Macaca fascicularis: one gene and its partner. The protein of the gene in region 1 interacts with the protein of each later gene in a pairwise test. Links are inferred from orthologs where the notes say so. Each region holds a gene or a part of one and is shown on either strand. Other genes may lie near its edges. The genes, in order: TRIM37 and PRC1.

Region 1 (15,528 bases):
TTTATAAATGATAAAAGAAATGTAATTGCATATATCAATAAGGTTTCCTCTCAGGTGATTACTTAGTGACCTTAATGTTTAGATGAGTTTGTCTTTTATTCTTATTTTACTAACTGTATAGTAATGGTCTGTTTTTCAATTTTAGATATGAATATCGTGTAGAGATGGTTCACCAGTCCTGTAATGATCCTACAAAAAATATCATTCGAGAATTTGCATCTGACTTTGAAGTTGGAGAATGCTGGGGCTATAATAGATTTTTCCGTTTGGACTTACTTGCAAATGAAGGATACTTGAATCCACAAAATGATACCGTGATTTTAAGGTAATAGGAAAAATTTAATGTTGTGGTTTTTATTGTGGGGAAATAATATCATTGGAACTGTATTTCAAAGATCATTTGGTTAACAAAGATGAATATTGAAATTCATACTAACTATAACCTTATCACTTTCTTAACTGTTTTATTTAAGTGGATAATAATCAAAAATTTGTAGTCAAAAAGTCAAACTTTTTTTTTGACATCTAGTTAGTAATTTCATTAAAGATATGCCGGGTGCGGTGGTGCGCTGGTGTTTCCATCTACTCTGGAGGCCGAGATGGAAGGATAGATTGGGCCCAGGAGTTTGAGACCAGCTTAGGAAACATAATGAGACCCCCATCTCTTTAAAAAGAAAAAAAAAATGTGTGTAGGGAGGAAACTACAACTTCCAGTAAATATAGTAATGTTCCATTTATCTGTTGAACTTCTAGTGACCTCACCGTTTGGAAATCTAAGAATAGTGAGAGATAAAGTGTTGATTTTTTTCACTTCACAGTGCATTTTATATTTGAGTGACTGGTTTTACAACTTAATTTTATAAAGCAGCTATCAGTTCTTTGTGAATAACAGAAAATTAAAAGAAGAATCAAGATGAAAGTTGATGAAAATGAGCAATTTTCTACTTTTTTCTTAAACTTTTATTTTAGGTTCAGGGATACTTATGTAGGTTTGTTATACAGGTAAACTCACATCGTGGTGATTTGCTGTACAGATTACTTCATCACCCAGATACTAAGCCTAGTACCCAGTAGTTATTTTTTCTGATCCTCTCCCTTCCATCCTCAAGTAGGCCCCAGTGTCTATTGTCTCCCCTCTTTATATCCCTGAGTTCTCATCATTTAGCGCCTTTTTTTTTTTTTTGAGATGGAGTCTCCCTCTGTCTCCCAGGCTGGAGTGCAGTGGCGCAATCTCGGCTCACTGCAAGCTCCGCCTCCCGGGTTCACGCCATTCTTCTGCCTCAGCCTCCTGAGTAGCTGAGACTACAGGTGCCCGCCACTGCATCCGGCTAATTTTGTTTTTGTATTTTTAGTAGAGACGGGGTTTCACCGTGTTAGCCAGGATGGTCTCAATCTCCTGACCTCTTGAGCCACCCGCCTCGGCCTCCCAAAGTGCTGGGATTACAGTCCTGAGCCACCGTGCCTGGCCCATTTAGCTCTTAAATAATAAGTGAGAACATGTGGTATTTGGGAAAACCATCAATTTTTTTTTTTTTTTTTGAGACAGTTTTTCTCTAGTTGCCCAGGTTGGAATGGAGTGCAGTGGTACGATCTTGGCTCCCTGCAGCATTCGCCTCCCAGGTTCAGGCGATTCTCCTGCCTCGGCCTCCTGAGTAGCTGGGATTGCAGGCATGGGCCACCACGCCCGGCTAATTTTGTACTTTTATTAGAGACGGGGTTTCTCCCTATTGGTCAGGCTGGTCTCGAACTCCCGACCTCAGGTGATCCACCCACCTCGGTCTCCCAAAGTGCTCTGATAACAGACGTGAGCCACCACGTCCAGCCAAAACCATCAATTTTTTATTGTTGATTGTTGGTTTAGTATTTACAAGAAAGGACAGAATATAAATACTGACTATAAAACAACAGCCCTATTTAGCCAGGCATGGTGGCTCACGCCTGTAATCCCAGCACTTTGGGAGGCTGAGGTAGGTAGATCACCTGGGGTCAGGAGTTTGAGACCAGCCTGGCCAATATGGTGAAATCCTATCTTTACTAAAAATACAAAAATTAGCCAGCCTGTGGTGGCACGCACCTGTAACCCCAGCTACTCAGGATGCCGAGGCAGGAGAATCGCTTGAACCTGGCAGGTGGAGGTTGCAGTGAACCGAGATTATGCCACTGTACCCCAGCCTGGGCGACATAGCAAGACCCCATCTCAAAAAAAATAATAATAAAGTAAATAAAAACAACAGCCCTGTTTAACGTGGGGTAGTCTTTACACAGGTCAGAAGTTTTTGGGCATCAGCTGGGCGCCGTGGCTCATACCTGTAATCCCAGCACTTTGGGAGGCTGAAGTGGGTGGATCACCTGAGGTCAGGAGTTCAAGACCAGCCTGGGCAACATGGTGAAACCCTGTCTCTACTAAAAATACAAAAATTATTTGGGCGTGGTGGTGGGCGCTTGTAATCCCAGCTACTTGGGAAGCTGAGGCAGTTGAATCGCTTGAGCCCAGAAGGCAGATGTTGCAGTGACCCGAGATTTCACTAGTGCACTGCAGCCTGGACAACAAGAGTGAAACTCTGTCTTAAAAAAACAAAAAACAAACAAAAAAAGATGTTTGGGTATCATTACATGATGTTATAATTTGATGATTAAAATGAGAACTTGAATATTTAAAAAAGAGATTAAAATACGTTCGTAACTGAGAAGTTTCAGAGTATTTAGCAGTTTAAGAAGTTCTCATCACAATTTGAAACTTTTTTTTTCTTGAGAGTGATTTAATGTACTCCTAAATTTCCCTTATTCAGAGCTCTTTGTTCTTGAGCATACTGGACAGATCATATCAGCATTTACTCTTAGGTGTTTTCCATAGCTTTTCTGGAAGTGTAAAGAAGTTTAACAAGGGATATGATTTTCAGTGTAGGGAAAAAGATTCATGTTTTTGTTATTGTTTTGTTTTGTTTTGTTTAGAGGCAGTGTCTTGCTATATTGCCCAGTCTAGTCTAGAATTCTTGGGCTCAAGTGATCCTCCTGCCTCAACTTCCCAAGTAGGTGGGATTACAGGTGCATGCCACTGTGCCTGGAATCATGTTTTTTGAAGGGAGGGATTATTTTAGTTATCTTCATATAGCTTTTCAGACTTTTGGGGTTTAATGTTCGCCAAGAGAAGTAATTTATTGCTTTTCATGCTTCAGCCATAGAGAGAATTACAAAATTATTCAACTATCAATTTTACCAACCTACAAAAGACCCATTTTCTTATAGTCTTAGTTTCATCCTTATTACTGTTATATATTAGTACAGAAACAAATTCTTGTTAGGACATCATTTTTTTAAAGCAACATTGAGTCTGTACCATATGCCTGACACTGAGTTGCTAATAAGAAAAATATAGACATGGTTTTTGTCCACAGGGAACTCAAGATGAAATTGGCAGATAAAAAAAGAGTTTACTACACTCTTATTATAAAATAATGCTATAGTAGCACCATAAGTAAATTGCTATGAAATTCGTGGATAGGGAGCTTCTCATTATCGTATTATATTTATTTATTTAATGAAACATTGCTCAAACTTTAAACCTCATTTAGTTCAAGATTCTGGTGGAACTTTATTAGAAAGTTATTTAAGGCTTTTCTGTAACTATGAATATATATTTCATTCTTTCATTAAAACAGAAAGTTAAGAAAATTTACCTGCTGCTTGGTTTTGTTTTAATGGCAAAATATTATAATGCTCAGGGTTAACCACTGGTTTAAGTCATTCAAAGAAAATAATAGTGTTCAGACGATCTTACTTTAATGTCTTACCAATGGGTGCTTCCTAGACTGTGAATCATCTCTGCTCAGTTCAGTTCAGAACATACTTTAATCTGTTTATTTTATTTTATTTTTATTTTGTATTATATTATATTATATTAGAGACGGAGTTTCGCTCTGTTGCCCAGGCTAGAGTGCAGTGACATGATCTCGGCTCACTGCAACCTTTGCCTCCCAGATTCAAGTGATTCTCCTGCCTCAGCCTCCTGAGTAGCTGGGATTACAGGCGCCCACCACCATACCCAGCTAATTTTTGTACTTTTAATGGAGATGGGGTTTCACCATGTTGGCGAGACTGGTCTTGAACTCCTGACCACAGGTGATCTGCCCGCCTCGGCCTCCCAGAGTGCTAGGATTACAGGCGTGAGCCACTGTGCCCAGCCAATCTCTTTTTTTAAAAAAAAATACTCAAGTTCTCATTTTGATAATCCAAATATAGCATATAATGATGCCCAAAAACTTCTGACCTATCAAGACTACCCCAACATTAAATAGGACTGTTGTTTTATAGTTGGTGTTTATGTTCTGTCCTTTCTTGCATGAGTATTCTTGACTGAAACTAGGTATATACTGCCAGATAACTGTTAAATGGTCAGTAGGTTCTTACGCTAAGGTGTAAAATCCTAGAAAAAAATGGACAGCTAACATTGTGTAACTGGGTAAAAGGCTGGAAGGAATGAAAGAGAGGTAGATATCCAAATTAATCTTGCCTTGTGGTGTTTCCTTTCTTCAAAAACACCTTCACACATGCACTGCAATTTTTTCACTATAAATATAGTTACGTTAGGCTATGTAACAAAGGTAGAGGTTTGCTTTAGTAAGTATTAGTTTTTTTAAAAATTAAAACAACTGGATAGATTAAGTTTCTGTCATTTATATATTAATATGATTTTATGTAGATGCAGTACTTTTTTTTCCTAATCTAAGCTGAAATAATGCCATATTGTAATAAGGGCAATTTTGATTGCTATCTTGAAGGGTTCGGGATATAGTTTATTTAGAGCATGTAACTCTTTGGGGGACAGTAAAGCAATCCTGGGTGGTTGACCCAGTAAATGATTTTTTTCTGAGGGGCAGGAAATATGGGAATGTGAGATGGAATAGAGAAATATAAAGAGCAGCATTTAAAACTTTGTATTTTGCTAGGGCCTGATTTAGGGAAGAAAGGGATAAGAGTTATCTTTCTCCTTATAGGAGGGAACTGCATGGTATATGGCTCTCTTCTTCCCAACTCATGATCATCATCATATTTTAGTTGCATTATTATAATATGCCTTAGTAGGTTAGTTTGGGGAGCTTAACTACAATGTACAATGTACTTTAGAAAGGTAGTTTGAGGACAACTGGATTTTCAGAATCTTGTGTCATAATCTGTGGATTACGTCTATAAACAACAAATACTAGCAGCTCTAAGTTTACGTGAATTTTGGCCTTATAATCAAGTTAACCAAAATTACAGAATTCAAAGCTAGACTCATAATATTTTACCATTTGAATTTTTTTTTTTTTTTAATGTGGCACGATTCTTTTAAGGTTTCAGGTACGTTCACCAACTTTCTTTCAAAAATCCCGGGACCAGCATTGGTACATTACTCAGTTGGAAGCTGCACAGACTAGTTATATCCAACAAATAAACAACCTTAAAGAGGTAAGGAAATATATATTTCTGGTTTAGTGTTTCCTATTGTCCTTTTGGCTTGTTATATTTGTAATTAGATTTAATATATTTATTGCTATTTGTAATTTTGTAGTTTATAATTGGAAAAAAAATCTAGTTATCCTGTTCCCCATCCTTACTGGTTCTGCAGTGTCCAGTTTAGTAACCACTAGTCACATATGGCTATGTAAATTTTTGTTTTACTTTATTTATTTTTTATTTTGGAGACAGGGTCACACTCACTCTCGTTGCCAGGAACAGTTTCCACTAACTGCAGCTTCAGCTTCCCAAGCTTGGGTGGTCCTCCCACCTTAGCCTCCCAGGTAGCTCTGACTTTGAGCAGGTGTCATGGCTAGTTTTTGTATTTTTTATGGAGACAGGGGCTTCTCCATATTGCCCAAGCTGGTCTTGAACTCCTGGGCTCAAGCACTCTGCCTGCCTTGGCCTCCTAAAGTGCTGAGGTTACAGGTGTGAGCCACTGTGCCTGGTCTGTAAATTTAACTTGATTAAAATTAAAAATTTAATTCCTTAGTTGCAGTAGCCACATTTCAAGTGCTTGCATTGGGTACTGCAAATCTAGAGCATTTCCGTCATTGCATAAAGTTGTTTTGAACAGTGTGGCTGTAGTTTGAGGTAAGCTCTTTGTGTTTCTGTCAGTGACTTAGTTTCTCTTCCACAAGTTATCTTGGATTTAGAGGATTCTAGGCTATAGCACAATTAAAAGTTGTCCCATCTTGAACTCTTAACTATTATTGAATGAGCACTAGAGAAGATTAATTGATGAATTTTTATTTTACAATGATAAACTGAGGAATGTTTCATTTCCCTTAGGAACTTAGGATGTGGCGGAAGGTTTGGAGTGCTGAGAATCGTTAATAGGTCAGGGAGGAAAATATGAATAAATACATGCTTTCAGAGATTTTCATGTTAAATGTACTATTTAAAACTACCTGTATTCACTTACTGTTTGCTATTTGTATGTTTAGCTTAGGCTGGATATGAAAGAAGGAAGATGAGCATATATGGGGCAGTTTATCTTTGTCATCAATTTTTTTCATAAATAAAAGGCAGTAGGGATTCAGAGAAATAGTTTAAGAAATGGTGCCAAGTGAGGTGGCTCACTCCTGTAATCCCAGCATGTTGGGAGGCCGAGACCAGAAGATCATTTGAGCCCAGGAGTTCAAAACCAGCCTGAGCAACGTAGCAAGATAAATAAAAAATGAAATTAGCTAAGCATGGTGGCACATGCCTCCAGTCCCAGCCACTTGAGAGGCTGAGGCAGTAGGATCTCTTGAGCCCAGTAGTTCAAGGCTTGCAGTGAGCTGTGATGGCACCACTGCACTTCAGCCTGGGCAACAGAGTGAGACAGTTCTCAAAAAATAAATAAGGAAAGAAAGAAATGGTTTTAGGAGCGTCTGGATGCATTTTTTTTTAGCTAGAAACATCTTTTACTGTGCCAGTGAGCTATGGCTAATATTTGTGCTTTTCTTGTTTTAAAAGAGACTTACTATTGAGCTATCTCGAACTCAGAAGTCAAGAGATTTGTCACCACCAGATAACCATCTTAGCCCCCAAAATGATGATGTTCCGGAGACACGAGCTAAGAAGTCTGCGTGCTCTGACATGCTTCTTGAGGGTGGTCCTACTACAGCTTCTATAAGAGAGGCCAAAGAGGATGAAGAAGAGGAGGAGAAGATTCAGAATGAAGATTATCATGTAATAATGAGGCCAGTTTTAGATTTTTGTGTTTGATAAAAGAAACAGTAGAATCATGGCTTTTAACGTATTATGCGCTGAAACAGTAGGCTAAAAATATTGTCCATTGATTTCCATTAGTAATGTATATATGCCCTTATGTAAATGTTAATAAGTCAGAAGTTGTTGAATCAAAGCATTTCAAGATTCTGAAATAATACATTCTATAAAACAAACTGTGATGTACATTTTAAAAACTAAACTACCATAAATTGTGGATTTTAAAAGTGTGTTCTGGCCGGGTGCGGTGGCTCACACTGTAATCCCAGCACTTTGGGAGGCCAAGGTGGGCAGATCACATGAGGTCAGGAGTTCGAGACCACCCTGGCCAACATGGTGAAACCCTGTCTCTACTAAAAATACAAAAATTAGCTGGGTGTGGTGATGCTTGCCTGTAATCCCAGCTACTTGGGAGGCTGAGGTAGGAGAATCACTTGAACCTGGGAGGTGGAGGTTGCTGTGCGCCAAGATTGTGCCACTGCACTCCAGCCTGGGAGACAGAGCAAGACTCCATCTCAAAGAAAAAGAAAAAAAACCAGGTGTTCTATTTTCATTCACTGAAACTAGTACATACCTTGTCATTACTTATGTAGGTAGAATGATTTAGGATTTAGTAGATAACCAGGCTCTATCCCAGCTAAACAACAGCCAGAATCCAGAATAAGAATTTAAGAAGTAGATATTTTTACATAAGAAGGGATGCCTAGATAGTTGTTTTTTTTTGTAGTAATTTTTAAGATGAGATACTTCAGTTTTAAGTTACGTTGAAGGACCCAGTGGGTCGAGAGAATGCACAGATTAAGTGCTTTGATAAACTAGAGATAATAGGGTTTGGAATGGAGCAGTCAGGTAAAGCAGTTAGTCTTTGACAAACTGAGTTAAAGGAAGGGTGGAGTTTGCAGGTAAGGCAGCTGAAAGTTGGGGAAGTTTTTGCTTAATAGTGGGTATTTTTTTTCTGTGCAGATAGGTGACAGTGTTAATTAATGACCTTGATAATGGTAAAATTAGGTAGAACTGAGGAGTGATGGTTTGAAACATAGCTCTGTGAGGAAGCTGATGTGGAATATGTGAAGGATTCCAGTCACACTGAGGGCCCAGCTGAAGGCGGCACGCATAAGTTAGTAAAATGATGTCACTGTGGTTGTGTGATTTTTCTCCACAGGGCTCAGCAGCTGAGGCACAGAAGCAGAAAATAGCTTTTTGATAACTATATTATTCTTTGGTGCTTGGTTTATGGGGTGGATGGGGTGATCAACTGAGTAGAAACATTTGGAATAGATGTCTTGTTTTCTTGGCATTGATCTAGCACGAGCTTTCAGATGGAGATCTGGATCTGGATCTTGTTTATGAGGATGAAGTAAATCAGCTAGATGGCAGCAGTTCCTCTGCTAGTTCCACAGCAACAAGTAATACAGAAGAAAATGATATTGATGAAGAAACTATGTGAGTGTCCCACTTTACTACTGTAAAGCATTTAAGTGGTAATTATTAGAAGCATATTAACTAACTCACCCTTAAAAGTAGGGACATTCAGCACTTTTTTGAAAGGTTGAATCAATAGCCAGTTTTCTCCCTCTAATCTCTGGGCTCTTAGCCAATAATTTTTGTTTTTGTTTTACCTTTTAAATTTGAATTTTGAAATTATTTTATGCCTAAGAAAAGTTCAGAATTCCATATTTCCTTCACACAGATTCATTCACTATTAATATTTTGCTTTATATTTCTCTAATTTTTTTCTGAAACACTTGAGATTGAATATACTTCTCATTGTCTACTTTTCTAAAAACAAGGATATTCTTACATAACTATAGAATAGTTATCAAGATCTGGAAATTAACATTGATGTAATACTGTAACCTTCTAAAAATTTGCCAGTAATGTCCTTTGTCAGGATCACATTGCATTTAGTTGTTAAATCGATTTAGTTATCTTCCATCTGGGTTACTTTTTTAGAAATTTGTTTTTCGGCTGGGCGCGGTGGCTCACACCTGTAATCCCAGCACTTTGGGAGACCAAGGCAGGTGGATCACGAGGTCAGGAGATCGAGACCATCCTGGCTAACACGGTGAAACCCCGTCTCTACTAAAAATACAAAAAGAAATTAGCCGGGCGTGGTGGCGGGTGCCTGTAGTCCCAGCTACTTGGGAGGCTGAGGCAGGAGAATGGCATGAACTCAGGAGGCGGAGCTTGCAGTGAGCCAAGATCGCACCACTACACTCCAGCATGGGCAACAGAGCGAGACTGTCTCAAAAAAAAAAAAAAATTGTTTTTTATGACTAATACTTTTTGAGAAATACAGAATAGTTTATTTTGTAGAAAGTCCCTCAATTTGGATTAGTCTGAAGTTTCCTCATGATTAGATAGAGATTACACAGTTTTGGCAGGGATACTACGGAAATGATAATGTATCCTTTTCATTGCATCATGTGGGAGTGGAGCATGATGTCAATATGTCCCATTACTTGTTAATTTTGATCACTTGGTTGAGGTAGCATCCGCCAGATTTCTGCACTCCAAAATTACTACTTTTTCCTTTATAATTAATAAGTATCTTGTGTATGGGACTGTAAATATCATATTTTTCTTCCTACTTTTTCCTGTGAATTTTGACACCCCTTGATGAGTGTTGCTTGAAAAAGGTTACTGTGTTGATTGCCAAGTGGTGTTTTTCTAATTCCATTATTTCTTATTCATTAGTTGCAATTTAAGGAAGAGCTTTCCCTTCTGCCCTATTGATGAACTAATTAATGAATATCATTAATGTGGATAAATTTTTTTTCTTGAGATGGAGTCTTGCTCTGTCACCCAGGCTGGCATGCAGTGTCACGATCTTGGCTCACTGCAACCTCCACCTCCTGGGTTCAGGTGATCCTTCCACCTCAGCCTCCCGAGTAGCAAGGATTACGGGCACATACCACCACGCCTGGCTATTTTTTTTTGTATTTTTAGTGGAGATGGGGTTTCACCACGTTGGCCAGGCTGGTCTTGAACTCCTGACTTCAGGTGATCTTCCCACCTCAGCCTTCCAAAGTGCTGGGATTACAGGTGTGAGCCACTGCGCCTGGTGATTTTTGGATTTTTAAACCAAGCTTGCCTTCCTGGGACACATCCCACTTGGTCATAGTGTGTAATTTTTTTTTTTTTTTTTTTTTTTGAGACAGAGTCTCACACTGTCACCCAGGCTGAAGTGCAATGGCATGATCTCGGTTCACTGCAACCTCCGCCTCCCAGGTTCAAGCGATTCTCCTGTCTCAGCCTCCTGAGTAGCTGGGATTATAGGCACCCACCACTACGCCTGGCTAATTTTTTGTATTTTTAGTAGAGATGAGGTTTCACTATGTTGGTCAGGCTGGTCTCAAACACCTGACCTCGTGATCCACCGTCTCGTCCTCCCAGAGTGCTGGAATTACAAGTGTGATCCACCTTGCCTGGCCATCCTTTTTTTTTTTCTTTTTTTAATTTGAGACGGTGTCTCTCTCTGTCACCCAGGCTGGAGTGCAGTGGCGCGATACCCACTCTCTGCAAGCTCCGCCTCCCGATTCACACCATTCTCCTGCCACAGCCTCCCGAGTAGTTGGGACTACAGGCTCCCACCACCTGGCCTGGCTAAGCTTTTTTTGTATTTTTAATAGAGATGGGGTTTCACCGTGTTAGCCAGGATGGTCTCGATCTTCTGACCTCGTGATCCGCCTGCCTTGGCCTGGGAGCCATTACACCCAGAAATTTTTTTTTTTTCCAAAGAAAATCTTGCTTTGTGGCCGGGCTGGAGTACTGTGGCATGATTATAGCTCCCCGTAACTTTGAACTCTGGCCTCAAGTGATCCATCTGCTTCAGCCTTCCTAGTAGCTAGGACTACTGGTGTGCATCATCACGCTTGGCTCATGATTCTTTTTATATGTTGCTGGATTCTGTTTGCTAGTACAGTTGTCCCTCAGTATCCTTGTGGTATTGGTTCTAGGACCCCTCCTTGGATACTAAAATCTGAGGATGCTCAAGTCTCTTATATAAAATGGCAGAGTAGTTGCATATAACCTATACACATCCTCCCCTATACTTTAAATCATTTCTAGATTACTTATAATACCTAATACAATGTAAATGCTATGTTGTTATGCTCTATAGTATACAGAATAATGACAAGGGGAAAAAGTCTGTGCATGGCTTTATTTTGTTTTGTTTTATTTATTTTTTTTGAGATGGAGTTTCGCTCTTGTCGCCCAGGCTGGAACGCAATGGCACAATCTCAGCTCACTGCAGCCTCCACCTCCCGGGTTCAAGCGGTTTTCCTGCCTCAGTCTGCTGAGTAGCTGGGATTATACACACCTGCCACCATGCCTGACTAATTTTTTGTATTTTTAGTAGAGACAGGGTTTTGCCATGTTGGCCAAGCTGGTTTCAAACTCCTGGTCTCAGGTGATCCACCTGCCTCGGCCTCCCAAAGTGCTGGGATTACAGGCGTGAGCCCCTGCACCCGGCCAACTTTATTTTTTGAGACAGGGTCTTGGCCTGTCACCCAAGCTGGAGTGCAGTGGTGTTGTGATCACAGCTCACTGCAACCTCGACCTCCTGGGCTCAAGTGATCCTCCCACCTTGGTTTTCCAAGTAGCTAGGACTACAGGTGCTTGCCAACACACCTGGCTAATTTTTAAATTTTTTGTAGAGATGGGGTCTCACTATGGCCTTACTATGTTGTTCTAGGCTGGCCCCGAACTCCTAGGCTCAAGCAGTCCTCCAGCCTCGGCTTCCCCAAGTGCTGAGATTACAGGCATGAACCACCGCACCAGGCCTTAAAAAATATTTTTGATCCACAGTTGGTTGAATGTGCAGATGCAGAGCCCACAGATATAGAAGGCCAACTGTATTTTGTTGATGCTGTTAATAGTGTTGTATGTTTCTCTGAGTGTTGTATGTGTCTCTGCTTCTCCCTGTAGGCAAAATCTCTGAGCCAAAGCTTTGAAGTTGCAGTGAGGATAAAAGTATACCTCCCTTACTTTAGAAGCTGAGTTAACTGGATGTTGGGGACAGTAGCCTTAGTTCTTTCCTTTTCAGGCTTGGGACCTCCACCTTATGAATAAGCTGGGACAGGGATGATCTGGGCCCCAGTATTCTCATCATGCTGCATCCAAGTAGAGCCTCTATTCCACAAGTGGGTCTCAGCAGAAGGGAGTCTCCATGTCTTGGCGGTGTGTGCCTGTACTATAGCATCAGCAATAGGTAGCTGGGGGCAGAATGAGAAATGGAGATATCTTGCCACTCCTAGGAATATAGCCCTCCTCTTGGAAGCTTGGGAAGTGGGAGGCCTATGTTCTTCATTGCACCAATCTGGAGTGGAATTTCTGTAACGCCAAGTTAGGAAGCGGAGTGGTCTTGGTTCAAATCCTGCGGATACCCACTTGTCTTACCCAGGTTTTATAGATTTTTTTAAGTAGATGTTTCTTCATTTGCTGTATACCCTTGGGACCATTTCCAGAGTCGTTAAGTGGTTGTTTTTAAAATAATTGTCACCAGTTTGACTAACGAGCAGATCTGCAGAGCTCCTTACATTGTCAAGCTGGATGCTTATCTTGAGATTTCCTTAAATATCCAAGACTATCATTGATTGGTACTGTTTCAAATAGTACTTTGTTGTTTAAAATAAAGTAATAGTGAGTGTTTTTTAATATGAGAGACTTTGTATGGCCTAGTCAGTACCCTCTTTTCTGAAATTTTATTTTTGGAAAAATAGTATTTAGTCATAAACAGTAATTTGGGCCTTTTTTTTTTGGATATTAAATTGTAATATTTTAAGCCTAATTTATTACCATTAAGCTACCAGTTCTCAGAAGCTGGAATTTCTTCTAACAGTGGTTCTTAGATTTATTAGTGTTTCATTTATTTCTTTTTTTTTTTTTTGCCTGACACAGTTCTTTTTGTTTTAATCTTCTTTTCCTTTCCTGTCTTGTCCTGTCCTGTCCTTCTTGAGACAGAGTCTCGCTCTGTTGCCCAGGCTGGAGTGCGGTAGTGCAATCTTGGGCTCACTGCAACCTCCACCTCCCAGGTTCAACCGATTCTCCTGCCTCAGGCTCCTGAGGAGCTGGGATTACAGGCACCCACCACAACACCCAGCTAATTTTTGTATTTTTAGGAGAGACAGGGTTTTGCCATGTTGGCCAGGCTGGTCTCGAAATCCTGACCTCAGGTGATCCGCCCACCTTAGCCTCCCAAAGTGCTGGGATTTCAGGTGTGAGCCACCGCGCCCGGCCTGATATATATATTTTTTAATTCCTTTTTTTTCTTAGCTTTGTAAGAAGAAATGGCTGATTTTTTTTTTTTTCTTTTTTTTTTTTGAGATGGAGTCTCGCTCTGTCCCCCAGGCTGGAGTGCAGTGGCGCAATCTTGGCTCACTGCAAGCTCTGCCTCCTGGGTTCACGCCATTCTCCTGATTCAGCCTCCTGAGTAGGTGGGACTACAGGTGTCCGCCACCAAGCCCAGCTAATTTTTAGTATTTTTAGCAGAGACGGGAATTTCACTGTGTTAGCCAGGATGGTCTCAATCTCCTGACCTTGTGATCCGCCCGCCTCAGCCTCCCAAAGTGCTGGGATTGTAGGCGTGAGCCACCGTGCCTGGCCGATATTTTTTGAAGGTTGTTTAAACAATAACATTACCACTACTTAAATTTGGATAGTGACAAAAAATCTTTCTTCTTTTTGTATTTAGAAATATCTTATTTCACAGAAAAATCTGCATATCATAAAATTTGTTGAGGTGTGAAAAATGTTTATTGTATCGCTCTATATGAATGATGGGTTTTGCATATTCTTAGGTCTGGAGAAAATGATGTGGAATATAACAACATGGAATTAGAAGAGGGAGAACTCATGGAAGATGCAGCTGCAGGACCTGCAGGTAATGAGGTCACCCACTGCCTCCAAGCCATTCTATTTTCTCCCTGCTCTTCTCTGACCGTATTATATTTTAAATAGGTGGTAGCCACTGCTTGTACATGGTTCATGGTGTTGGAAGTGCTACATCTTGTAATACGGATTTTTTAGAGTTCATTACTAAAGATACTTAATAATAATAGCTACCATTTAAAAAATGTTCTTATGTACCAGGCACTGTGAGAAGCACTTTATATGCCTTATATTAATAAAATTCTGGTGGTACATTCACCGATGGATAGAGAAATTACAGCAACTTGCCAACTTTTAGCAATTTAGTAAATGAGAGTAATTGAATCCCCAGTTTTGTCTGTATCCCATGCTTATATTTTATACTGTTTTCTGATATAAAGTCTTATTTGTATATCTTCCTGGACTATAGAATGATCTCAATGGAATAATTGACTCTTAGACTTACAAAGGATCTTAAAGAGCTCATTTTATGGTTTTTAGTTGCCTGGTCATATAGCTGGTTGTTAGTACAACCAGACTAGAACTCCAGATTGTCCTGGGTTTGTGGACCCAGCATTTTTCTCCCAAACTACACTGCTTCTCCTGGGAAGAACTGACTTATATAATGAGTACTTTTTTTGTGTGTTCTCGGATCTATTTAATTAAGTAGTGAATCTTGGCTAGAGTAATTAAAAGTTAGCTTTCTACTGTTTCTGTTTTACCCATGTTCTCCTCAGTGTGAACACTGGCATATTCTTCTTTTTTTTTTTTTTTTTTTTTTTTGAGACGGAGTCTCGCTCTGTTGCCCAGGCTGGAGTACAGTGGTGTGATCTCGGCTCACTGCAAGCTCCGCCTCCCAGGCTCACGCTGTTCTCCTGCCTCAGCCTCCGGAGTAGCTAGGACTACAGGCACCCGCCACCACGCCCGGAGAACTTTTTGTATTTTTGGTGAAGATGGGGTTTCACTGTGTTAGCCAGGATGGTCTCGATCTCCTGACCTCATGATCCGCCTGCCTTGGCCTCCCAAAGTGCTGGGATTACAGGCGTGAGCCACTGCGCCTGGCCAACACTGGCATACTCTTAATATGCTTGGATAACTAAAGACTTCTAAATACTAGTCCTCACCATTGCAACTCCAACCTAAGCCCTATATTCTTTCTACTCCTGACTTTAATCCTGGGTAATCGTATCCACACCTGTATTTCAGTTACTATCTATATACTGATTACTCTTCAAGTTCTTTCTTTAGCCTTTGACTTTCCAGTAATTTCCAAACCCTTATCTTGGTGTGACTCAGCACCTCCCAAACACAAATTACTGTCTTTTCATCTGCCAGCTTGCCTGTCAGCAGTAGCTACCCTGATTGATAGTGCTATACATTCTTTACTTCTTCCTCTCCCTAAAAGTTTACCTTTAGTGTATTACCAAGATCTGTTGGTTCTGT
Region 2 (16,096 bases), on another chromosome or scaffold:
TAGAGCGGCGAAGTTGGCAGGGCCTTGATGAGGTGGTACGGCTGCTCAACTGCAGTGACTTTGCATTTACAGGTATGTGGCATCAACAGTGGGGTAGGCTGGCAGTGAGAGGTGGGCTGGATGCACCACTCAGGACTAGCATGTCAGGGAAGAGCTGAATCTGGCCTGATCCTCACAGACATGACTAAGGAAGACAAGGCTTCCAGTGAGTCCCTGCGCCTCATCTTAGTGGTGTTCTTGGGTGGTTGCACATTCTCTGAGATCTCAGCCCTCCGGTTCCTGGGCAGAGAGAAAGGTAAGAGAGATCAGAAAGGTGAGAATTGGCCTGCATTGTATATGGGCAACAAAGTGTTGGCTGGGCGCAGTGGCTCATGCCTGTAATCTCAACACTCTGGGAGGCCGAGGCAGGCAGATCACCTGAGGTTAGGAGTTCGAGACTAGCCTGACTGACATGGTGAAACCCCATCTCTATTAAAAATACAAAAATTAGCAAGGCATGGTGGTGGGTGCCTGTAATCCTAGCTACTCAGGAGGCTGAGGTAGGAGAATTGCTTGAACCTGGGAGGTGGAGGGTACAATGAGCCGAGATGGCGCCATTGCACTCCAGCCTGGACAACAAGAGCAAAACTCCGTCTCAAGAAAAAAGAAAAAAAAAAAAAAAAAAAAACCCACGCAAAGTGTCCTGCATAGGAATAGTTTTCTCCTGGCCTCGGAGTACAACTTGCCATAGCCTTACTGTGGGCTGCTATAGCAGGGAGCCCAGTTATACCAGGCGTAGAAAGCAGTGGTGCCCAAGGGTATGGCACTCAACGTCTCTGTCTATAAACTGGTGCTCTGATCCCATGGGGACTGTGGAAATGGAGGGGCTCTATGGTTATCGTTGGGGCCTAAGATCTGCGCTGTCTCTTCTGCTGCTGCATTTGACTCCTTAGGCTACAGGTTCATTTTCCTGACAACAGCAGTCACAAACAGTGCTCGTCTTATGGAGGCTATGAGTGAGGTGAAAGCCTGATGTTTTTCCCGGCCAGTATTGTCATCTTCCCTGAACACATTCCTCAGTGGGAGGCAGGCATCTGGCACCCAGCTGTTATAACCAAGTGTCTACCAACTACCTGCTACGAGCCGGGAGCATGGAACGGGTTGGGATTTAGAGAACATATCTGAGAAGAGAGTTCACTTCCTGCTCCCAGGATATTTCTCTTTTCTGTTTATGAAGTACAACCCATGCTGCTAAGATACAAGCAGGAAGAGGTATCCTTTGTTAAATCCTGTTTGAATATCATTGTAAATAAAGCCTCTGCTCTCAGATGTAATATGTTTGTTGTTCTGTACACGCACTTCCATCTTTATTAGTGAAAGCCCACTGGAGCTTTCTACAGGGGCTTCCTATGCTTCTTGGCCTGGACTTTATAGTGGCCTGATCTGGTTCTTCCCTGTAAAAGTCACTCGACCATTCTGTACCTGAGTTTCCTCAACCATAAAATGAGGGGGATGGATGAGGTGACCAGCAAGCACGTTTCCAATTCTAAAATGTTGTGATTCATTACATTTTTGAGAAAATGACTTTGTTGTTTTAACTTAAGGAGGCACTTCAATTTTAAGCATTTTGTTTCTTACTGCAGAATGAAAGATTGTGTGCCATTAGAGCCATTTCAGGCATCAGCAAACGGTGCTCCTATAAATGTACCAGCACCCTCCTCATTGCTGATGCTAGTAGCCTTTCTCCTTCTCTCTTTACCTTTCAAAAATGATGAAATATAGGCCAGGTGCTGTGGCTCATGCCTGTAATCACTGTACTTTTGGAGGCCAAGGCAAGAGGAAAGCTTGAACCCCGGAGTTTGAGACCAGCCTGGATAACATGGCAAGACCCCATCTCTACAAAAAATAAAGAAATTAGCTGAGGGTGGTGGCACACGCCTGTATTCCTAGCTACTGGGGAGGCTGAGGTGGGAGGATCCCTTGAGCCCAGGAGGTTGAGGCTGCAGTAAACTGTGACCCTCTCTCAAAAAAAAGAAAAAAGAAGGAATTACAACCACCTGTGTTAGTGGCCAGTTTTCAGGCCTCTTCCAACTTGATCCCGCTGATGACTACACTTTCCTTGAAATTGTCGTATTCAGCTTCCATAATACCCTTTCTTTGTCCTCCCACAATCTCTTAGGTTGTTCTTTGATCCCATTTGCTGACACCTCCCCTCTCTCTGTCCTTTGTTGTCATCCACTTCCAGATCTCAAGCTTTCATCTCACTCCACACAAGTATGTCCTACCTGGTCATTCCACAGGCACTTCAAACTCAGCATGTACAAAATAAACTCATGAGTGGAAGCTCTTGTCCCTACTTGAATCCTTTAATCTGCTCTTCTTCCTGTATTCCCAAACTTTGTTCAAATGAGCAAAAAGTTGTATTCTTGGCCTCAGATTTTTTCTTTCTATGCCCCACCTTTAGCTGGTTCCCTTGTCCTATTGGTTCTTATTTCTAAATGCCTCTAGTTCATCTTCTCCTCACCATCCCTATGATAGAGGTCTTTATTGTCTCTTGCCTGGGTTTTTGTAAGAGTGTCCCTCCCAGCTGCTCATCCTCCCATCTGTTCCCCATTCCACAGTGCTGCCACTTACTAAGAGGAAGAAAGAAAATCAAAACCTGAGTTACTAGATCATCAAAAGTATTCTTCCTATAGAATAAGGATCATTCTGGGCCCGGCGCAGTGGCTCACACCTGTAATCCTAGCACTTTGGGAGGCCGAGGCAGGCAGATCACTTGAGGTCAGGAGTTCAAGACCAGCCTGGCCAACGGTGAAACTCTGTCTCTACTAAAATATAAAAATTAGCTGGCTGTGGAGGTGCGCACCTGTAGTCCCAGCTACTCGGGAGGCTGAGGCGGGAGAATCACTTGAACCCAGGAGGCAGAGGTTGCAGTGAGCCGAGATCGTGCCACTGGACTCCAGCCTGGGCAAAAGAGCAAGACTGTCTCAATAAGTAAATAAGTAAATAAAAATAATGATAATTCTTTTTTTTTTTTTTTTTTTTTTTTGAGACGGAGTCTCGCTGTGTCTCCTAGGCTGGAGTGCAGTGGCGTGATCTCGGCTCACTGCAAGCTCCGCCTCCCGGGTTCACGCCATTCTCCCGCCTCAGCCTCCCAAGTAGCTGAGACTACAGGCGCCCGCCACCACGCCCGGCTAGTTTTTTTTTGTATTTTTAGTAGGGACGGGGTTTCACCATGTTAGCCAGGATAGTCTCGATCTCCTGACCTCGTGATCCACCCGCCTCGGCCTCCCAAAGTGCTGGGATTACAGGCTTGAGCCACCGCACCCGGCCAGATAATTCTGTATAAGAATACATTCCAAGGAAAAGGCATTCCTCAAGCATCTAGCTAGAATTTTGAGTGTTATTTCAAGCTAGTGTGCAAGACCAAAGACACTGCCAACAGGGCTGTTGTTCGCAGAAAGAATAGGTGGCATCAGAAAAAGATTAAACAGTGGCAAAACATTGCCCTTCCATCAAGTAGAAATATATGACCCTGTAATAGGGGTTTTTTTTATTTGTTTGATTTTTGAGAAAGGGTCTTGCTTTGTCATCCAGGCTGGAGTACAGTGGCATGATCATGCCTCACTGCAGCCTTGACCTCCTGGGCTCAAGTGATCCTCCCACCTCAGCCTCCCAAGTAGCTGGGACTAGAGGCTCATACTACCACATCTGGCTAATTTTTGTATTTTTTATAGAGACAGGGTTTTGCCACACTGCCCAGGCTAAGGTCATATATTATAAACACCTATTACACAGTGTTTTACATGCAGCGTTTATGCTCTGAATGGATATCTTTGCGTCAGTTCTGTGACTTTGTTAGCCTCAGCACCTCAGTGTAAAGGACGAGAGAAAAATTGTCTTATCTCTGGATACTTAATAATGCTGGCCCTAAGAACATGTATGAAGATCACAAATTTGTGAAGCTTTCTGAAAAGCTCTCCTGTTAATTTAACCAACAAAGAATGCAAGTAAATTTTAAAAGTGGTGCTGCCATCCACTCTATTAGTGGTGTCAATGTTAATCAACAGAGTGCAAGGAAATTGAAAAAGTGGTGCCTGTCCTCCACTGAGTTTGTGCTGTGAATATCTGGCATGCTGCTGATAGGTTAAAAAGAACATTGAAGCCAGGCGCGGTGGCTCACGCCTGTAATCCCAGCACTGGGAGGCCGAGGCCGGCGGATCACCTGAGGTCAGGAGTTCAAGACCAGCCTGGCCAACATGGCAAAACCCCATCTCTACTGAAAATACAAAAAAATTATCCAGGCATGGTGGTGCGTGCCTGTAGTCCCAGCTACTTGGGAAGCTGAGGCACAAGAACCGGGTGGCGGACGTGCAGTGAGCCGAGATTGGGCCACTGCACTTCAGCCTGGGTGACAGAGCAAGACTCCATCGCAATTTAAAAAAATAAGAAGAACATTGAAAGCAGCAATGAAGTTTTTCTGAAAATAAGAAAAATATGGTTCTGAAGGTGAAGCAAACAAGCATCCTTTACCTTTAGGGAAAAGGCATATGAACGTAAGTTACAGTTGGCCAGTAAACACGAAAAATGTGCAATTTCAGTTATAATCAAGTGCCAAACAAGGAAATGCCAGTATTATTATTTTACCTACAAAATGAGCAAAGATGTTTAAAAGTATGATAGAATTCAGCCCTGCTGAGGGTAACAAAAGGAGGGTACTTTTCCGGTGAGGCTTTGTGCAGAAGGCAAATTAATAAAGGGAGCATTCAGTAATTACACCTCTAGGAATCAGCCATACGAAAATGCAGGATGCAAAGATTTATGTATGAAGATATTCAGTCCAGCCTTATATTTTGAATTATCTAAATATCAATAGCAGAATGGGCGAGATAGCTACACACCAGGATATTATGCCACCATGAATCACTGGGAAAAAAAATGTGATATATAAGCATTTAGGGATGTAACATGTTCATCGAGGAAAGGAGGCTACAAAAGTACTATGATGTTTATTTTGAGTTTTAAATTTTTCATGTAACAATTTAGAAACTAATTTGAAAGAAAACCACACCTAGGTGATCTGCATTTATTCACCAATCAGGTGAGTTGGGCAAATCATTCAAATCTTTTTGAGTTTCCTCTGCAATGGTGACAATACTTGCCATAACAGGATTGTGGAGGTTAAATAGGATAACTAGCGTTGAAAGGTTCCAGGCCCATGAGCAGGGCTCAATGTTCCTTCCCTTCCCCTTAGTGTACGGCTTCCTACATCTGGGGAGAAGTCCCACCAAAGATCGGTTCCAACGTTCGCTTCTTGGATGAGCAAGGGAAACTAGGCTCTAACTTTCCTATTCCTCCCCGCTCCCGGTCCCGGCAGCCGGGACTCAGGGAAGCCGGAAAGCCGCGGTGCTCTCAACTCCTTCCCCGCCCGCGCACTTCGAAGACAAACTGCGCCGGGCGGGGCGGGGCGGGGCGGTGCTCCGATGACGTAGCCGACTCGGGAGGGGAGTCCCTTGAGGCTGCAGCCAATCGAGGGAAGTGGGAGGTGCAGGCCACGCCCGCCCACTCACAGACAGTGACGTCATCCCCCGCCCCGCTCCAGCGCTTCCCGGGCCCCGCTCACGAGTCCCCGCCCCGACTGCGCACCCGCGAGCTGCAACCCGAGGGGCGGGGATTTTCGTGGAGCGACGGGACGCGACGCCAATCGCAGCGAGGCTTCGCCCCGCGGCGCGGTTTGAAATTTTGCGGGGCTCAACGGCTCACGGAGCGGCTACCCGGAGTGAGATCGCCGGTGTTTGCGGGTGGTTGTTGCTCTCGTGGCGGTGTTGAGTAGGTCTAGAGCTGGACTGACGGCTGCTTGGAGCGTCTGCCATGAGGAGAAGGTGCGGGTTGCGGGGAAATCGAGGGGACGCGGGAGAGAGCGACGCCCGTCTCGGGTTCAGGGGTTCAGGGGTGCGGGGCCCGTGCGGGGTCCCGGGACTAGGGCGTCACAGCAGTCGGCGCTGAGTGAGGCCGGGGGCGCGAAGAGGCAGGGTCTGGAGGCGGCGAGCCAGTGCGAGGGCCGCGACGGAGGTGAGACCTGACGCGCTGTCCCCCGGCGGCCGCGGGTGTCCGCAGGCTCAGACGCCCGGGTGGGAGCCGAGCGCCGGTGCCCGGACGCGGCAGGGCAAGCGAGGCCGGGGGCCCGGGTCGGCCTCCACCCTGGCGGTCAGCGCTGGCGCTCGGACCCCACCCTCCCCGCCCTCGGCGTCTCAGGTGCCGCTTCTTGGCGCAGATGACTCGTAAACCTTCTGTGGTCCTGGCTTCTCTTTAAAGCTGTTAAGTTTATTTATCATTGTTTTGTTTTATTCTTTGTTTTTGTGGAAACGCGGTCTCCCTATGTTGGCCAGGCTGGTCTCGAACTCCTGGCTTCAGGTGATCCTGCCACCTCGGCCTCCCAAAGTGTTGGGATTACAGGCGTGAGCCACCGCGCCCGGCCCGTTGTTTTTCTTTATATCTGGCCAGCGGTGTTAACGTTTTGTTTGAATTGGAAAGATAGCTTTGTTTCTTTGCAAGTTAAGAAACGGATTATGGAATTCTTTTCCGGTCGTTTTAATAACTTCCTAGGCAGTGTTGGGGAGGGACTGACCGACTTGAAATCCGGACCAGTGACACTGACACTTACCAGCCTTGTGCCTTCCAAATATTAACTTTAATTTCTGAAAGTTGTAGATGAATTATTGTGATGATACAGCGTTAATTTGTAGTTTTTGGTGAAACTGATTGTTCTAAGGCTTTGTAAGATTCTTCATTTCATGATCACTGATTCTGATCTGTCTTTTTCAAATGCTTGCCCTCAGAATAATGAGAATTGAGTGCCAACATGGTGAAACCCCGTCTTAACTGAAAATACAAAAATTAGCCGGGCGTGGTGGTGCGCCTGTAGCCCCAGCTTCTCAGGAGGCTGAGGCAGGAGAATCGCTTGAGCCTGGGAGGCAGAGGTTGCATGAGCCGACATCTCGACACTGCATTCCAGCCTGGGTGGCAGAGTGAGACTGTCTCAAAAAAAAAAGTCCATTAACAGTTTATGAATTATTTAGGCATCTCCTCTATCAAGGGATTGAATGAAGCAGGAGAAAAAATTACCCTTTAGTGTTGGTTCCAGGCTAATGGATATAATTTGACTTTTTTTTTTTTTTTTTGAGACAGGGTCTCACTCTGTCACCCAGGCTGGAGTGCAGTGGCGAGATTCCTCACTGCAGCTTTGACCTCTGAGGCTCAAACAAAACTCTGGCCAGAATTAATTATGGTTATCGGTCCCCGAAACAGGTTGCACAGGAGATCAACAAAGCTCCTTCTCTGGAGTGCTAAGAAAAAATAGGGCAGTGGATCAGTGAAGGCTGCCTGAAGGTAGGAAATAATTTAGAGGACCACTTTGAGATTTCTTCCAGTCCAGTGATTTATGTTCAAGACTGAAAAAACTGACTCATTCTACAACCTTTGTGTCCTTGAGTGGTAGTCTTTGTATGCACTCTGAGTTTTTCAGTGAGTCTAAAAAAAATCTCAGACTTGCTCCTTTTAGGGGATTACCTGAAACAATTTAGCCAGGTAGTATTTCAGTGTATCATGACAATTGTTCATAATGATTGCTCTGAAGCATCTTAAGAACATACAACTTTTTTGAAATGTCACATTATTCATTCAAAAAGACTTCTTGGGCCTGGCACAGTGGCTCACACCTGTAATCCCAGCACTTTAGGAGGCCAAGGTGGGAGGATGACTTGGGCCCAGGAGTTCAAGACCAGCCTGGGGCAACATAGCAAGACCCTGTCTCTAAAAAATAATAATAATCTATACTAAAAAAGAAAAGAAAAATAATTCTTGAATGTTATATACAAGGAACCATTCCAAGTGGTGGGGATATAGCAGTGAGCAAAAGTGACATCCCTGTCCTCACAGAGTTTGTATTCTAATAGCAAAACAGGAGTGTAATAAATAAGTTAATCTTAAATGGTGATAAGTGCTATGTAGAGAAATCAAGCAGAGAAAGGGGATAAGAAGTACTGAAGGTGTAGGAAGTGGGGTTGTGGTTTTAAAGAGATGGGTCAGGAAAGGCCTCCCTGAGAAGGTGATCTCTGAGCAAAGACCTAAGGAGGAAAAGGGTGAAGCCATGCAGCATGGGGGAAAAGAGATCTAGGTAATCAGCATATCCAAGTGCCCTAAGCGGGGATAGTGCCTGGTATGTTCCAGAAAGAGCAAGGAGGTCTCTGTGACAGGAATAGAATGAGCACTGAGGTCAAAAGAAATGGCTTTCAGATGGAATGGGCCTTCATAGGGCTTTGCAAAGCCAGAGGCTTTTCCTTGGAGTGAGATGGCAAGTCATTGGAGGGTTCTGAGTAGAAGATTAGGACTTGGGGCTCCTGTGTTGACAATAGACTTAAGGAGGCCAGCATTGAAGCAGGGAGACCAGTTAAGAAGCCATTGCCATACAGCAAAAAGTTAGTGGCAGTGACCTGGACGAGGGTGGGGGTGGTAGTGGTAGCAGCAGAGGTCAGGAGGAATGAGATTCTGCCTGTCTTGTGTAGATAATGCTAATGGCGGGAATATAAGAAAGAAGTGTCAAGGATGATACAAGATTTAAGTTTTAAAAAAAAAAAATTGGCCGGGCGCGGTGGCTCAAGCCTGTAATCCCAGCACTTTGGGAGGCCGAGACGGGCGGATCACGAGGTCAGGAGATCGAGACCATCCTGGCTAACACCGTGAAACCCCGTCTCTACTAAAAATACAAAAAAACTAGCCGGGCGAGGTGGCGGGCGCCTGTAGTCCCAGCTACTCCGGAGGCTGAGGCAGGAGAATGGCCTAAACCCGGGAGGCGGAGCTTGCAGTGAGCTGAGATCCGGCCACTGCACTCCAGCCCGGGCTACAGAGCAAGACTCCGTCTCAAAAAAAAAAAAAAAAATTAAGTTCAGTACAATTTGAATGTTAGGAAGAGTGAGAAATGTTAGTTTTTAATTCTTTGAAAATGATCCTCTTACAGGAACTGTCTCTAACTAGAATAATAATAATGGGTGTTTGGAATTACCAAACACCCATTTCCAACAGGCCAAATAAAATGTGTTATATATTAGTAAAGTTTTCTTTCTTTCTTTCTTTCTTTTTTTTTTTAAGACAGTCTTGCTCTGTCGCCCAGGCTGGAGTGCAATGGCACGATCTCAGCTTACTGCAACCTCTGCCTCCTGGGTTCACCGGGTTCAAGTGATTCTCCTGCCTCAGCCTCCTGAGTATCTGAGATTACAGGCACCCACCACAACACCCGGCTAATTTTTATGTTTTTAGTAGAGATGGGGTTTCACATGTTGGCCAGGCTGATCTCTAGCTCCTGATCTCAGGTGATCAGCCTGCCTTGGCCTCCCAAAGTGCTGGGATTACACAACGTGAGCCACCACGCCCAGCCATAGTAAAAATCTGTAAGTTTTTCAATTAAGTCACAAATCAAAAAAATTTCAGATTATGTGCCGAGATGTTTTTAATAACAGCTTTGAGATATAATCCACATACCATACAATGTACTTAAAGTGTATAATTCAGTGATTTTCAGAATATTCAGAGTTGTGTAATCATCACTGCAATCAATTTTAGAACATTTTTATCACCCCTTTAAAATCCCATTAGCGGTCAATCCCCTTTCACTCCATGGTCCAAATTCTCCCCACCCCCAACTACAAATCTACTTTTTGGCTAGGCAAGGTGGTGCACACCTATAATTGCAGCACTTTGGGAGCCCAAGGTGGGAGGACTAATTGAGCCCAGGAGTTCAAGAACAGCTTGGGGGAGACTGCCTCTACAAAAAAAAAAATTTTTTTTTTTTTTTTTTTTGAGATGGAGTCTCACTCTGTCACCCAGGCTGGAGTACAGTGACGCGATCTCGGCTCACTGCAACCTCTTCCCCCTGGATTCAAGCGATTCTCCTGCCTCAGCCTCCCGAGTAGCTAGGATTACAGGTGCCCACCACCACACCCAGCTAATTTTTGTATTTTTAGTAGAGATGGGGTTTCACCATATTGGCCAGGCTGGTGTCAAACTCCTGACTTCGTGATCCACCGGTCTTGGCCTCCCAAAGTGCTGGAATTACAGGCGTAAGCCACCGTGCCTGGCCTAAAAGAAATTTTTTTTTGTTTAAGTTAGCTGGGTGTGGTGGCTCACATCTGCAGTCCCAGCTACTCTGGAAGCTGAGGTGGGAGAATCACCTGAGCCTAGAAGGTTGAGGCTGCAGTGAGCCATGATCATGTTACTGCACTCCAGCCTAGGTGAAAGATGTCTCAAAAAAAACATACAAACCTCAAATCTACTTTTTACCTATTCTGGATATATCATATAAACGGAACCATAGCTGTTGTGGTCTTTTGTGACTTGCTTCTTTGACTTGGCATAATATTTTCAAGGTTTATTGCCAAATAATATTCCATTGTATGGCTATATACTACATTTTATTTACCCATTCATAAATTGATGGCCTTTTGTTTTGTTTTGTTTTGACTTTTTGGCTATTGTAAGTAATGCTGCTATAAACATTTGTGTAGTTTTCGTATAAATGTGTTTTCATTTATTTTTGGTAAATACCCAGTAATAAAATTGCTGGGTTGTATGAACTCCATTAAACTGAGGGGCTGGGTGCAATGGCTCATGTCTGTAATCCCAACACTTTGGGAGGCTAATGTGGGAGGATTGCTTGGGCCCAGAAGTTCAAGACCAGCCTGAGCAACATGGCAAATCTTTAAAAAAAAAAAAAAAAAAAACGAAAATTAACCAACCATGATAGCACGTCTGTGGTCCCAGCTACTTGGGAGACTACGGCGGGAGAATTGCTTGAGCCAGGGACCTTGAAGCTGCAGTGAGCTATGATCACACCACTGCACTCCAGCCCAGGTGACAGTGAGGCCCTGTCTCAAAAAACAAAAAAACAACTGAGGAACTACCAGACTGTTTTCCAAAGAGGCTGCACTGTCTTGCATTCCCACGAGCAGTGTTTGAGGGTTCTAGTTTCTCTAGATTCTCACCAATACTTGTTGCTATATATATTTTTTTTTATTATAGCCATCCTGTTGGCTGTGAAGTGGTTTTGATTTGCATTTCCCTAATGACTAACATTGAGCATCTTTTTATGTGCTTATTGGCCATTTGTATATCTTCTTTGGAGAAATGTCTATTCAGATTCTCTGCCTATTGTGCTAGATTTTTTTATTCAGGAAAATGATCACTTTACCTTGTAGATATGTTACAGAGATAGGCAGCCCTGCTTGTAAACCTTCATCAGGATCCTAGAATACATAATACCTCTATTAGGTTAGGTAGGTTAGGAGCATAGGACCCTTTGGCAGGAATTCAGGGCCATTCATTTTACATCTATTGAACAACTACTATGCGTTAGGGTGTGGTAAAATGAAGATGAATAAGACGTGGTGGTCCTTGCCCTTGAGTTTATGGTCTACTAGGGGCCTGGGGGGAAAATGGCAAGTGAGTGACAAGTCCACAGGTCTCCAGAGGAGGTGGTGGCAGATAGAAGGAACTGAACGTACAAAGCACGGTGGCATCAGAAAATGAGGGCTGCATGTGGTTTATTGAGGGGCACTGTTCAGGGAATGCCCAGGAAGTTCAGTTGGCTGGAAACTTGGGGAGTGACAAGTGGCAGAGATTAGCAAACTCGGAGAGAGGTTTAGAAGGCCTTTCCACGGAAGGTGGTTGAACTATTTACTGAGGGCAATGGGACCTTTGAAGGGGAGTAGTTAAGCAGGGAGCTGATGGGATTTGTTGTTATGAACAACTAGCTGTTCTGTGGAGATTGGCTGGGCAGGGGTAGGTCTGTCAGATTGAGGAGACTGGTATACTTAAGTAATGACCTTCAGAACAGTGCCCCCGGCTGGCCTGTCTGGAAGCCAGGGTTTTGCATCCAGATCGAATATTGGCCACAGATTGGATCTTAAAAGTTATTTTTAACAAAATGCTAGTATTAGGATTTTTACTTGTGCATTCTTGTGTCTTCAAAATGAAGTGCAAAAGGAGTGTTTGCCGGGGGAAGCTCTTTAGTTGGACTTTAGTTGAGATTATGTTAAATAAATGCCTTACTGTTAACATTTCTTTTTTTCTTTTTCTGTTGGACTTGAACCGTTAACATTTCTAAAGTGAAGGGAGTACAGTAAATTCTTTTAAACATTTGTCAGTATTTGGGTCTTGGTATGGCCATCTGGTATAGGCAACAGGTACTTGTGTAGAAATGTTTCTTCAACAAGAACAGGCAACCTCTAAACTGGGATTTCGTGGCTGGAGATATTTTGGATGTGAATGTATTAACAGCTTTGGAGAGACACATTGTTAGAGATCTAGGCTGGTGACTTGTAGAACCATCGAAAGCTCTGAGACAGAAAGGGGCTAATGAAAGTCTCTAGCTCCAATTGGGTGTGGACGGCACACAAACAGCTAAGTGTTTAAGTGATTTGCTGCAGGCTTCTCAGCTGACTGGAAGCAGAGAACATCTAGATTGCAGTTTCTCTGGTGCCAGGGCAGTCTTAGTTGTCCTGTTATATCTAAGAAAAGGGAGAAAAATTTCTATTCTTTAAATGTTCTGTAAATCAGACTAATGGTTCTAATTTTTAAAGTAAACTTTTCTTAAAAGATACAGAAGCCAGTTAAATTTGTATTTTAGATAAATAATTTTTTGTTAAAATAAGCTTTTGGTAACTGAAGAATAACATACATTCAGAAACATACAGAAATCAAGTGTAAACTCAGTGAATTTTTCACAGTTGATGCACCTGTGTAAGCAGCAACCCAGAAGCCCTCTACCAGTCACTGCCTCCTCTGAGCCAAAAGAGCCACTATCCTGACTTCTGAAAGCATAGATTAGTTTGGCCTGATTTTTTGTTTGTTTCCATTTTTGAGATAGGATGTTGCTTTGTTGCTCGGGCTGGAGTACAGTGATCACAGCTCACTGCAGCCTCATCCTCCCATGCTCAAGCAATCCTCCCACCTCAGCCTCCTGAGTAGCTGGGACTATAGGCATACGCCACTGCGCCCAGCTAATTTTTTTTTTTTTTTTGATAGACACAGAGTCTCACTGTTGCCCAGGATGATCTCAAACTCCTGGGCTCAACCAATCCTCCTGCCTCGGCCTTGCAAGGTGCTAGGAATATAGGCGTGAACTACCACGCCTGACCAGTTTTGCCTGTTTTTGAACTTTATGTCAATGGAATCACATAGTGATACACACTTGTGTATCTGGTGGCTTTTGCTCAACCTAAAGTGTTTTTTTTTTCTTCCTCTTCCCCTTACAACTTTTTTTTAAGTTGTTTGACTTCATTAAAAAAATGAAAAGATTTGAGGTATAATTCATACACAGTAAAACGGACTCACTTTACAGGTAGTTTCAATTGTATACTGTTATATAATCACCATCAAGATCTAGAACTATTTCATCACCCCAAAAAGGTAAAATTTAAAAATAAATAAATAAAATAGAAAAATAATAATGGCTTTCCATGTCATGTGTAGTGTGTTCATTTCCTTTTTTGAGACAGTTTCACTCTGTTGCCCAAGCTGGAGTTCAGCGGTACGGTCTTTGCTCACTGCAACCTCGGCTCACTGCAAACCCCACTTCCCGGGTTCAAGTGATTCTCCTGCTTCAGCCTCCCCAGTAGCTGGGATTACAGGCGCACCACCACACCCAGCTAATTTTTTGTGTTTTTAGTAGAGACGGGGTTTCCCCATGTTGGCCAGGCTGGTCTCAAACTCCTAACCTCAAGTGATCCGTTCCCCTTGGCCTCCCAGAGTGCTGGAATTATAGGTGTGAGCCACTGCACCCAGCAAGTTTGTTCATTTTCATTGCTGTATTATTGCACGGTAGGAATGTACTATTCGTTCTGTTGATAGACATCTAGGCTGTTTCTGTTTCCATAATATTATGAGTAGTGCTTCTCTAACCATTCTCATATGTGTCTTTGGTGAAGGTATGTGTTCATTTCTGCTAGGTATGTATGTAGAGGTAGAACTGCTGAGTTCAGCTTTAGTAGATAGACTGCCAACAGTTTTTAAAATAGTTGTACCAATTTACACTATGCCATCAGCATATGAAAGTTCTCACTTTTCTATATACTCACCAACACTTAATGTTGTCTTTTTAACTTTAGCCATTCTTTGAGCTGCTAGTTGTAATTTAAGAAGAATAGGCTGGGCGAGGTGGCTCATGCCTGTAATCCCAGCACTTTGGGAGGCCGAGGCAGGTGGATCACTTGGGGTCAGGAGTTCGAGACCAGCATGGCCAACATGGTAAAACCCCATCTCAACGGCTTTTTAACTTTAGCCATTCTTTGAGCTGCTAGTTGTAATTTAAGAAGAATAGGCTGGGCGAGGTGGCTCATGCCTGTAATCCCAGCACTTTGGGAGGCCGAGGCAGGTGGATCACTTGGGGTCAGGAGTTCGAGACCAGCATGGCCAACATGGTAAAACCCCATCTCAACGGCTTTTTAACTTTAGCCATTCTTTGAGCTGCTAGTTGTAATTTAAGAATACTAGGCTGGGCGCAGTGGCTCTTGCCTGTAATCCCAGCACTTTGGGAGGCCAAGGCGAGTAGGTTTTTGTGTTTTTGTAAAAATACAAAAATTAGCTGGGCGTGCTAATTTTTGGTGGCGCATGCCTGTGATCTGAGCTACTTGGTAGGCTGAAGCAGGAGAATCACTTGAACCTGCCAGGTAGAGGTTGCAGTGAGCTGAGATCATGCCACTGCACTCTAGCCAAGACAACAGAGTGACACTCTGTCTCAAAAAAAAAAAAAAAGAAGAACGAAAAAATAAATAAAATAAAAAGGCCAGGCACGGTGGCTCACATATGTAATCCTAGCACTTTGGGAGGCTAAGGAGGGAGGATCACTTGAGGCTGGGAATTCGAGACCCGCCTGGCCAACATGGCAAAACCCCATCTCTACTAAAAATACAAAAATTAGTTGGGCGTGGTAGCGCGTGCCTGTAGTCCCACCTATTCGGGGGCTAAGTCAGGAGAATCATTTGAATGCAAAAGGTGGAAGTTGCAGTGAGCCAAAATCGCACCACTGCACTCCAGCCTAGGCGACAGAGCAAGACGCTGTGTCAAAAAAAAAAAATACAAAAAAACCCCCAAAAATAGTAATAAATTGCCAGATATTTTTGTAGGAGTTTCTTGCCAGCAAGTTCTTGTGTTAGTTTATTTTACCAACATTTTTGTCTGGTTTTTCTTTAGTAAAAGTATTTATAATTCTGTATTATACTTCCATAGGTAGATCATTGTTGAAAGTCCAGAAGGTTGAGCTTCCATGATGTAATATGATATGAAATCTTGCATTGCTAGTGGTATTTGGTAGGAAAAGGGATGGGGAGTGGTTAAAGGTGAATTAAGCTGAATGCCTATTTTTAATTTGTTTTTTTCTCGAGGCCACGGAGAAGCCAGTCTTTTTAGTTCTTGAAAATAGTGCTTTTAGTCCGGAGGCTGTGATTGATGTAACTAACAGGTCTTAGGTTTTGGTTTTCAGTGAGGTGCTGGCGGAGGAGTCCATAGTATGTCTGCAGAAAGCCCTAAATCACCTTCGAGAAATATGGGAGCTAATTGGGATTCCAGAGGACCAGCGGTTACAAAGAACTGAGGTGGTAAAGAAGCATATCAAGGTGGGTTGAATAGTACTGGTCTCTGCATTGGACCTGGGTAAGGATGTTGGTGTCTCACCCGAGATAGCATGCAGAAGGGACATGTGATCATCGGCATTGGGATGGCACAGGCTCTTCCTGTTTGGTTTGGTTTGGTTTTGAAGTCCCTTCTTGAAATTTGAGGAGGCTGGGCGCGGTGCCTCACGCCTCTAATCCCAGCACTTTGGGAGGCCGAGGCATGTGGATTGCTTGAGGTCAGGAGTTCAAGACCAGCCTGATCAACATGGTGAAACTCCATGTCTACTAAAAATGCAAAAATTAGCCAGGCATGGTGGTGAGCACCTGTAATCCCAGCTACTCGGCAGGCTGAGACAGGAGAATCTATTGAACCTAGGAGGTGGAGGTTGCAGTGAGCCGAGAACGTGCCATTGCACTTCAGCCTGGGCAACAGAGTGAGACTCCGTCTCAAAAAA

The links.
Region 2: the proteins of TRIM37 (region 1) and PRC1 interact in binary tests that used the Homo sapiens proteins (3 or more experiments, as listed by UniProt). The link is inferred for Macaca fascicularis from reciprocal best matches to the Homo sapiens genes TRIM37 and PRC1.

Annotation. Positions count from the first base shown.
Region 1 is NC_088390.1:47,648,060-47,663,587, forward strand, and holds part of TRIM37 (E3 ubiquitin-protein ligase TRIM37), read left to right. Parts: intron 1-145; coding exon 146-325; intron 326-5,333; coding exon 5,334-5,448; intron 5,449-6,957; coding exon 6,958-7,173; intron 7,174-8,518; coding exon 8,519-8,655; intron 8,656-14,015; coding exon 14,016-14,098; intron 14,099-15,528. UniProt on the Homo sapiens protein: E3 ubiquitin-protein ligase required to prevent centriole reduplication. Probably acts by ubiquitinating positive regulators of centriole reduplication.
Region 2 is NC_088381.1:75,538,420-75,554,515, reverse strand, and holds the start of PRC1 (protein regulator of cytokinesis 1), read left to right. Parts: upstream 1-5,708; 5' UTR 5,709-5,850; coding exon 5,851-5,861; intron 5,862-15,146; exon of another isoform or gene 15,147-15,511; coding exon 15,512-15,644; exon of another isoform or gene 15,645-16,087; intron 16,088-16,096. Other genes in the region: VPS33B (vacuolar protein sorting-associated protein 33B), read left to right, coding at 1-72, 179-295, 933-1,012. UniProt on the Homo sapiens protein: Key regulator of cytokinesis that cross-links antiparrallel microtubules at an average distance of 35 nM. Essential for controlling the spatiotemporal formation of the midzone and successful cytokinesis.